Oryctolagus cuniculus: one gene and its partner. The protein of the gene in region 2 interacts with the protein of the main gene of each other region in a pairwise test. Links are inferred from orthologs where the notes say so. Each region holds a gene or a part of one and is shown on either strand. Other genes may lie near its edges.

Region 1 (3,582 bases), on a different chromosome or scaffold from region 2:
CTGGGGCTTGGGAAAGCCACCCCTTCCAGGAAGAGGGAGAACATCTCTCTTCGGAGAAGGTCCTCTGTGACCACCCCTCCAAGACCCCACCTTCCGCTTCCTCCTGGGGCCGGTCCCAGAGCTTCGGAGCACCCACCAGGCCACTGGAAAGGAAAGTGGGCCAGGTTGTCTTCCCGGTTGTCTTCAGTGAGAAATGGTCTTCCATACTCCACACGCAGCCCGGTGGCCAGCAGGAACCTGTAGAACGCAACCTGGAGGCTGCCCAGCTGCTCCCTCTGGGGGGCGCGGGCGGGGAAGCCAGGTCTGGGAAGTGGGGTGTTCCCCGTGGTGGCTGCGACACGCAGCATTCCTTTCACTTGAGGCGGCCAGGCCCAAGAAGCTCCGGCCCCCGCCTGGGGAATATGACATAACCAGAGGCGGGGACGCATCGCAAAAGCCAGAGTGGTGTCCACACATCCCTTCCACAGAGGAAAGCCCACCCCATCCCGGGTGCAAGAAACGCCATGTCTACCCCGGCTCCATGGCTCCCCTCATCGGTCGCCGGCCCCACAAACACCCCCAAGTCAGTGATCTGATAGGATGTGTTTATATTTACATGGTACATTTTAAAGCAATGGCTACATTGGTCATACATATTAGAAACCATAAAAAAAAGTTAAGAACTAAAATGTACATCATACACTTGTATATATATTTTTTTACACAGAGGTAAAAAGGCTTATTATAAAAAATCAATACAACGGGGTTTTAATATACAGGGAAAGAATGGATCATGTCTCAGGCACTTTTAATCTGTTAATGTGAGCAAACAGCTTGGGTGGGGGAGGGGAGACGGTCAGGGAAGCTTCCCAACAGAAAACCTTTTGGTTAATGTTTTGTTACCACCGATACAAAAATAAAATCTGAGTACTTTTCTCAAATGACTGACGTCATGATGGCAAAGCTGACTTGGGAAAGCACTACACGTTGTTCAGCTGCAGGGTGGTGCTGGGAGAGACGTATTTACATAAATGTCCCCATGGCCGTCTTTGTGCCCTTAACCGCTGCCTTCACAAACCAAAAAGGATTTGCGGAGTAAGACTCGCAGGTAGGAAGGGTCGAGGGGCAAAGGAGGGTGGGCAGGACGACAGAGGTGACAAACAAAAGGTGGCTCTGAAACGTGTGTTCCTGTTGAAATAAATAGGGGCGCTTGAACGGAAGTCTAAGGACACATACATTAGTGTTGTGCTTTGTAGAGAGGAGACCTTAGAGAGAGACCCTGAGGGAGACCTCAGGCGGGAAGAAGGTGCCGTCTCGACAGCGTCGTCGGAGCGGGAGGCTGGAGGGTGTCTCGCTGTTCTCCAGGCAGGGAAGCCGTTAGCTCTCTTTCCATCGATCCACATGGATGGTGAACCGGGTCCCACTGGTCACTCCAACAAATGGCAAGAGCTGCCAACCAACTCAGAAGCACACTGGGTGTGTACGCAGAAGAAACGGGTAGGGCTCCCAGGCGGGCTGAACGCCCTGCCGGGGAGGTTCAGCATGGCTAGCACTTTCCTTGAAGACTATGTCCTGTGTGCAAGAGAGAAAGGACAGGGGAAAGGAGGCGAGGAGGACAGGGTCCTGCCAGTGGCTGGCGATTCCCACAGAAGGACTGTGGCAGGAAGAACAGCCAGTGTCGACAGGCCTGCTGTCTGTCCCCCGTGGTCTCCACGAGGTTCTGATTGTACTATGCTAGGTACAGGTAACCACTCTTCACTTTTCCTTTTTCTTCAATAAGAAGATTTGGCTTTTCCTCCCAATATATTAGAAAAATACTCTGTTCCAGCTAAGTAAGAAGCCTCCTACGTGGCAAGGTGACAGGTGGAACTGGCCGGCTGGCCTAACCACCTGTGCACGAAAAGTGGCAAGTCTGGGTTTGGAGTTGCAGGAGAAAGACACTTAGGCATTGGAAGGGTTTTTACATATGGCCTTGTTTTTTCCCAAGTATAAATGAAGAATTTGGTGACATGAAGTTGAGTCCAAAATGAAAATGAAAACATAAACCCACAGGCAAAAATGCGACCCCACCACTCTTGGAAGTGATGATATTTAAAACCCCCCACCCTGTTACTATAAATAGCCACCAGGGGGAGGGAAAGAAACTCCTATAGCTTTATCCCCCACAACCGTAGTGTAGTGCCACTTGCTCCTACAGCACTGGTTTGTGTTTGAATAGACTATCTGGCTCGCAAAACCATGAGCAAGATTTCTTACTCTAATTTTTACTCTTATTCTAATATTGCTAATTTTTTTTAGCAAGTGGTGGCAACACAACTGTTAAAAAAAGTCAATTTTTAGGATAACCAGGGAGGCTCAAAGAAACCTGAAATATCCCCTTTCTAGCCCTGGTCTGAGGGTGTGACGCAGCTGAAGGAGTTTTCCTGATTCTCACGAGTTAATCTGAAGTTAAGGCTCAATTCTCATTTTATGGTGAATGTTTTGCATCAGTGAACAATTTCGACAGGTTATTATTATTATTTTTGCACGAGGAGGGGTGGGGGGAGGCAGGGACAGAAAATGATGATGGACTTAGAGAAACTGCAGCTTTCATGGGAAATTTGGCTTTAGAAGAGTTAAAGCGATATTTTATGGTACAAGTTTGTTAACTAGCTCACCTCCTATACATAATAACTGACTGCAGGTTAAAATACTTCCGGTAGGGTCGCATCATCCGGGGATCAGGGTTCCGCAGGAACCTGCTGCCGGACCGAGAGAAAGACCGGGTCTGGGAAAACCCAGCCCCAAATCCGCAGCAGTTCCCACTGCAGACGCCCTTGAACTGGAAGAGGTGGGGAGGACAGACAGGAAATGGCCGCGTGGATAAAACAGCTTGATTACAGGTTGTTAATAATACACCAGAGTCCAGGCCCAAGTTCCTTTCCTCAGAACACTGTGTGTGAGTGGGTGTGTGCGGCTGCCGCAGGGCGGTGGCGGAGGGAGCTGAGAGCCCCCCGGGCAGGTTCCCGGGGCTGGAATGGTGCCTCAGGGTCCCGGGGCAGGAGGAGAGGAGCGCGTGAGAGACGCCGAGTCAGGCGGCCGCTTTGTGCTTGCCCCCACAGCACCTGCACAGCACTCCGCAGTGGTAGCAGGCCCGAAGGGGCAGGTAACAGCACATACAGGGGGCCAGGAAAGACAAGGCAATAAGAGCCATCCACCGGAGGCAAAACTTCTCGTCGCTAGTGTCGCACGAGCAGGGGTCTGTGTAGTCCCCCTCGGGGTCCGACATACAGTGATACAGCATGCTGTCCGCACACCACATACAGCTCACCCGGCGGATGCAAGTTCTCACCGAGTCGGGAGCGTCCTGGCAGTGGCCCCGCCGGTTCTCCTCGTGGTTGAACATGTCCCTGCAGTACACGCACCGGGAGCGCTCGCCGTCCTCCTTCCGCCACCGGGACTTGCCCCGCGACGGCTGTGTCTTGATCACGCCGCCCCCGCGGCCTTTGGGGTCCTCGCCGAGGCCGAAGTCTGAGGAGTCCACGTAGGGGTAGTTGTAGTCGTGCTTGGGGACCTCGCCCTTGGCGAAGCGCACGTACGAGTCCACGTCCTCCGAGGGGTCCG
Region 2 (3,810 bases):
GGCTGCCCACAGGCTGCGCGCTCAGGCTCCACATAAGGTAGGCCTCTGAGCGGCTGGCTGGGGGGCCCCTGTCTGAGGCTCAGCTGCCCTCCGGGCCCCGGCATCACTGCCTGATAGGTGCTGAGCCCAGGGGTGGGGGTCAGCCCCGCCTGCACCCCTGGGGCTGAACGGAATCATCTCAGTGCATCCCAAGCAGTCTTTGGGGCCTCTAGAGAAACGCCCTACATACCCAGAGAAGAGCTGGCCACACGCAACATCTCCACGGTGTTCAGGGCCAGTGGCCTCTGCTTGGCCTTCTCCTTCCTGCTTGTGGCCTCCACCTGCAGGATGAGACGTAGGCAGTGATGCGGAGGTGGGAGGAGCCTGAAGAGAGACAATCCGAGCACGGGGCAAGGGGCCTGCTTTCCTTTGTCTCTCTGCTTCTCAAACCCCCTCTTCCCTGCAGTCTGGAGACCGGGTTCAGTGCTCGTTTGGGACCGGCAAGGGACACACAACAAGCCCTCTTTTCCAGATAATTGTCTAGGGAAGAGAAAACCCGGAGGAGTGAGCAAGAGGCAGGAAGAAGGGGCTGCAGGCATGGCTGGCAGGAAGCCAGGACTTTCACGTGACATCACACAATTGTTCAGTGTGGACAACTCTCTTGAAACTTGCAGCAACGCCACGCAAGACCGACTGGGATCCATCTGTGGGCTGTGCTGGCTGGTGAGCTCCCCCTTCCACCTCTGGAAGGCACTCATCAGAAGACAAGGCAGAAACAGTCCCAGCGACTCTGCCCAGGGCCTGGGCCTCGGCCAATCCCCGGCCACGCCGGATTCCAGGCCCACAAACGTGGGTGCTAATGCTGAGGCTGCCTGTGGATATGCAGCAGTGGAGCCCAGGGTTACGCGGGGTGATCTGGAGGCGGAGCCGGGGCCTCTGCAGGAATGCGACCCATGGGAACGCCTTCAGAAGTTCTGGAGCCTGAGAGGGCTGCATGGGTGGGCCAGCTGGCATGCGAGGAAGGGCAGGGTGGCTGAAGGTGGCCCGGCCACACCTTGATGGCTCTGGCAGCTTTCAGGGCCACGGAGCATCTGCAGAGCATGCCCTGTGCCCGTCACCCCACCCTCTTCCTGAGATTGAGTCACACACACTCTGAGCAGGAAATACAACACCATGGAGGTGCCAGGCGGATGGATCCCAGACAAGTCCCCAACTTGCCGTGTGGCCCTGGCCAAGCTCATCACAGAGGTCCCTCTGCAGCTACTAGCCCCCGAGATCACAGAGAAGGGACACCTGTGACATCTGCCCACTGGGTCACGTGGGAAGGGCCTGGCAGGTCCCAGGTGTGGACATGGGTGCCCCACAGCTGCCGCGTTGGGAGAACTATCTTAGGAGTGGATGCATGAGCCAGGGGGACAGGTGTGGGTGGGGCGGGGCCATACCTGGGCTTCCTTCTCCTGCTTTGTCATGTTTAAGAACATCTGTGCGATCTCCCGGTCGAACACTCTCACTCGGTCCCAGTCCAGAAGCAGCGACCTGTCTTTGTCGACGTTCACCTGCAGGACGGAGGACAGGAGGTGAACACATGAGGAGAAGCGGGCGGCGAGCCCAGCGCCTGGGCTGGGCCTTGTCTGGGAGCCACGCAGCCCTGGCGCTGGCGTCTGCACCTGCTCAGGTGTGCTGATCCCGGCCTGAGCCCTGGTCTCGCTCAGGGTGGGTGGGGTGGCAAGGCTGACGGTATCACATCCTTAGTAGCACCTGAGCCTCTGCCGCACACCCAGGGTCCCTGTCAGTCACAGCAGCTCCAGTGTCATGTTATAAATCCTACAGCACGCGTCTGTGGAGGGTTTTATTTGAGGAAAGCGCCCTAGGACTTCCTAAAAAAATTATTTTTGTTTATTTGAAAGGCAGAGAGACAGAGATGAGATGTCCCACCCGCCGATTTCGCTCCTCAAGTGCCTTCACAGCCGGGAGCTGGGAGCTGAAGCCAGTCTCTCAAGGGGGTGGCGGGGACACAGGTGCTTCAGCCATCACCACTGCCTTCCAGGGTGGGCATCAGCAGGATGTTGGAACTGGGAGAGAGCTGGGACCTGCACCAGCCACTCGGATATGGATATGGGACGCAGCGTTCCCAGGACTGTCTGAACTGCTACACCTGGCTTTCTAGAATTTCCAAAAAGTTTAAAAGCTCAGGGCCTTGGTCCAGTGATCAGATGTGATTTTACCCTCGATTGCCAGAGCCAGCCTTGTCCCCACTCATCCAAATTCAGCGTCCCCAGGCTCAGCCTAGCCGGGGGCACCACAGGCCCACAGTGGCACCCTTACCCCTGAGGCCTGCAGGAGGAGGATGATGGTGATGACACAAGGCTTTCAGAGTCCACCCCCCCCAAACCCAGACACACACACACACACACACACACACACACACACACACAGAGCAGAGGAGGCACCTTGGCCTGCAGCACCCAATAGGCCTCCGGCTTGAAGGACTGGATTTTGTCATGCCTCTCCACACAGAAGCCCAGCGTAGGAGTCTGGCACGGCCCAAAGGAGATGAGAGAGCTGTCCAAATCGCCGTATTTCCCCTGGAAGTACTTGGTCTGGAACCTGGGTGAGGGTGGGGTGCGAGAGAGAAGCCATTTGGTTAAGGATTTGCCTGAGACCCCACCGTGAGTGCCCCCGGGGCTGGGGTGGTGAGCGCAGGGCAACCGGAGGTGGCAGCAAGAGGCAGGGAGGAGCCCTGGGGAGGAGCCACGCGTGCACGGCTGGGAAAGCCAACAGGAACACGAAGCTGGGTCCCAGTGGGCCAGGGAGCCCTGCTAATGGGTAGCCCTGCCACACCCCCTCAGGACCCGCGTGCCAGTGGGCCCACGCCGCCTATCCAGCAGCGGCCGGCACAGTGAAAATGCCGAGGCGCAGGGCAGGCACCCAGCGCACCTGGTGAAAGCACAGCCGATGCGCAGGTCCAGCTCCTGGCGGGCGTCCACCGACAGCGCCTCGTTGTGGTCCGGCTCGCCCAGGCGGGCCATGGCGTTACAGATGTCTGTGTCTGTGATGGAGCTGAACCTGGCCCGGAACACAGTCTTCTCGCCGCCGTGGGCCTTATTCATGACGGGGACGACGGCATCAAGGACCTGGTGGGAAGCCATCCGGCTGGGATCGCCTCTGCCCCCCATCTCCTGTCCCACCCCTCAGCCGTCAGGCCCGGCTCCTTCTGGGGCCCAGCCTCAGCACGCGTGTGGCCCCCTTCAACAAGACCCCTGCCGTCTTCCTGCCTTTCCAGGAGCCTCCATCTTGCGCAGACCCCTCACCCACGGCTACATTGCCATTCACATGCCCCTCCCCACTGCCGCCCTGCAAGCTGCCCCCCACCGCTCCTCCCCCTGCTGCCAGGCACACAAGGGACCTTGCAGTCCCCAAATCCACTGGAAGCCTACTCTTAGGAGGAGGGTGTGCTGGGCGTAGGTACGTGAGACTTTGAAGAAACTGGAGAAATATAGGGCAGGAAAAAAGCCCAGCAGAGGCAAAGGCCATGGCCAGTGGGAAGGGGCCAGGTGGGCCCAGCTGCGGCTTGGGGGTGGGGGTGTGTGGGGTCCCACAGCTGAGACTAGGAGGGCTGTGCGGAGGGAGGGGACAATGTGTGAGCGAGTCTGCTCTCGTTGGAACCACCTCCTGCATCCTGAGTTTGCCAAGCCCTGGGCCGCACTGGGGGTGCCAGGGCGTCTGGGTGACCCTGTAAAGACCCACAGCCTGAGGGGCACTGTGGGAGGAGCAGTTGGGTTGCAGCCACCTGCTTTCCTGGAGGGAGGGCTGGATGGGTGGAGGTGGGTG

What was found.
Region 1: the proteins of TOP3B (region 2) and SPRED2 interact in binary tests that used the Homo sapiens proteins (3 or more experiments, as listed by UniProt). The link is inferred for Oryctolagus cuniculus from reciprocal best matches to the Homo sapiens genes TOP3B and SPRED2.

Annotation. Positions count from the first base shown.
Region 1 is NC_091433.1:137,419,381-137,422,962, reverse strand, and holds the end of SPRED2 (sprouty-related, EVH1 domain-containing protein 2), read right to left. Parts: coding exon 3,050-3,582; 3' UTR 571-3,049; downstream 1-570. UniProt on the Homo sapiens protein: Negatively regulates Ras signaling pathways and downstream activation of MAP kinases. Recruits and translocates NF1 to the cell membrane, thereby enabling NF1-dependent hydrolysis of active GTP-bound Ras to inactive GDP-bound Ras.
Region 2 is NC_091452.1:28,916,035-28,919,844, reverse strand, and holds part of TOP3B (DNA topoisomerase 3-beta-1), read right to left. Parts: intron 3,114-3,810; coding exon 2,917-3,113; intron 2,587-2,916; coding exon 2,430-2,586; intron 1,536-2,429; coding exon 1,422-1,535; intron 321-1,421; coding exon 230-320; intron 1-229. UniProt on the Homo sapiens protein: Releases the supercoiling and torsional tension of DNA introduced during the DNA replication and transcription by transiently cleaving and rejoining one strand of the DNA duplex.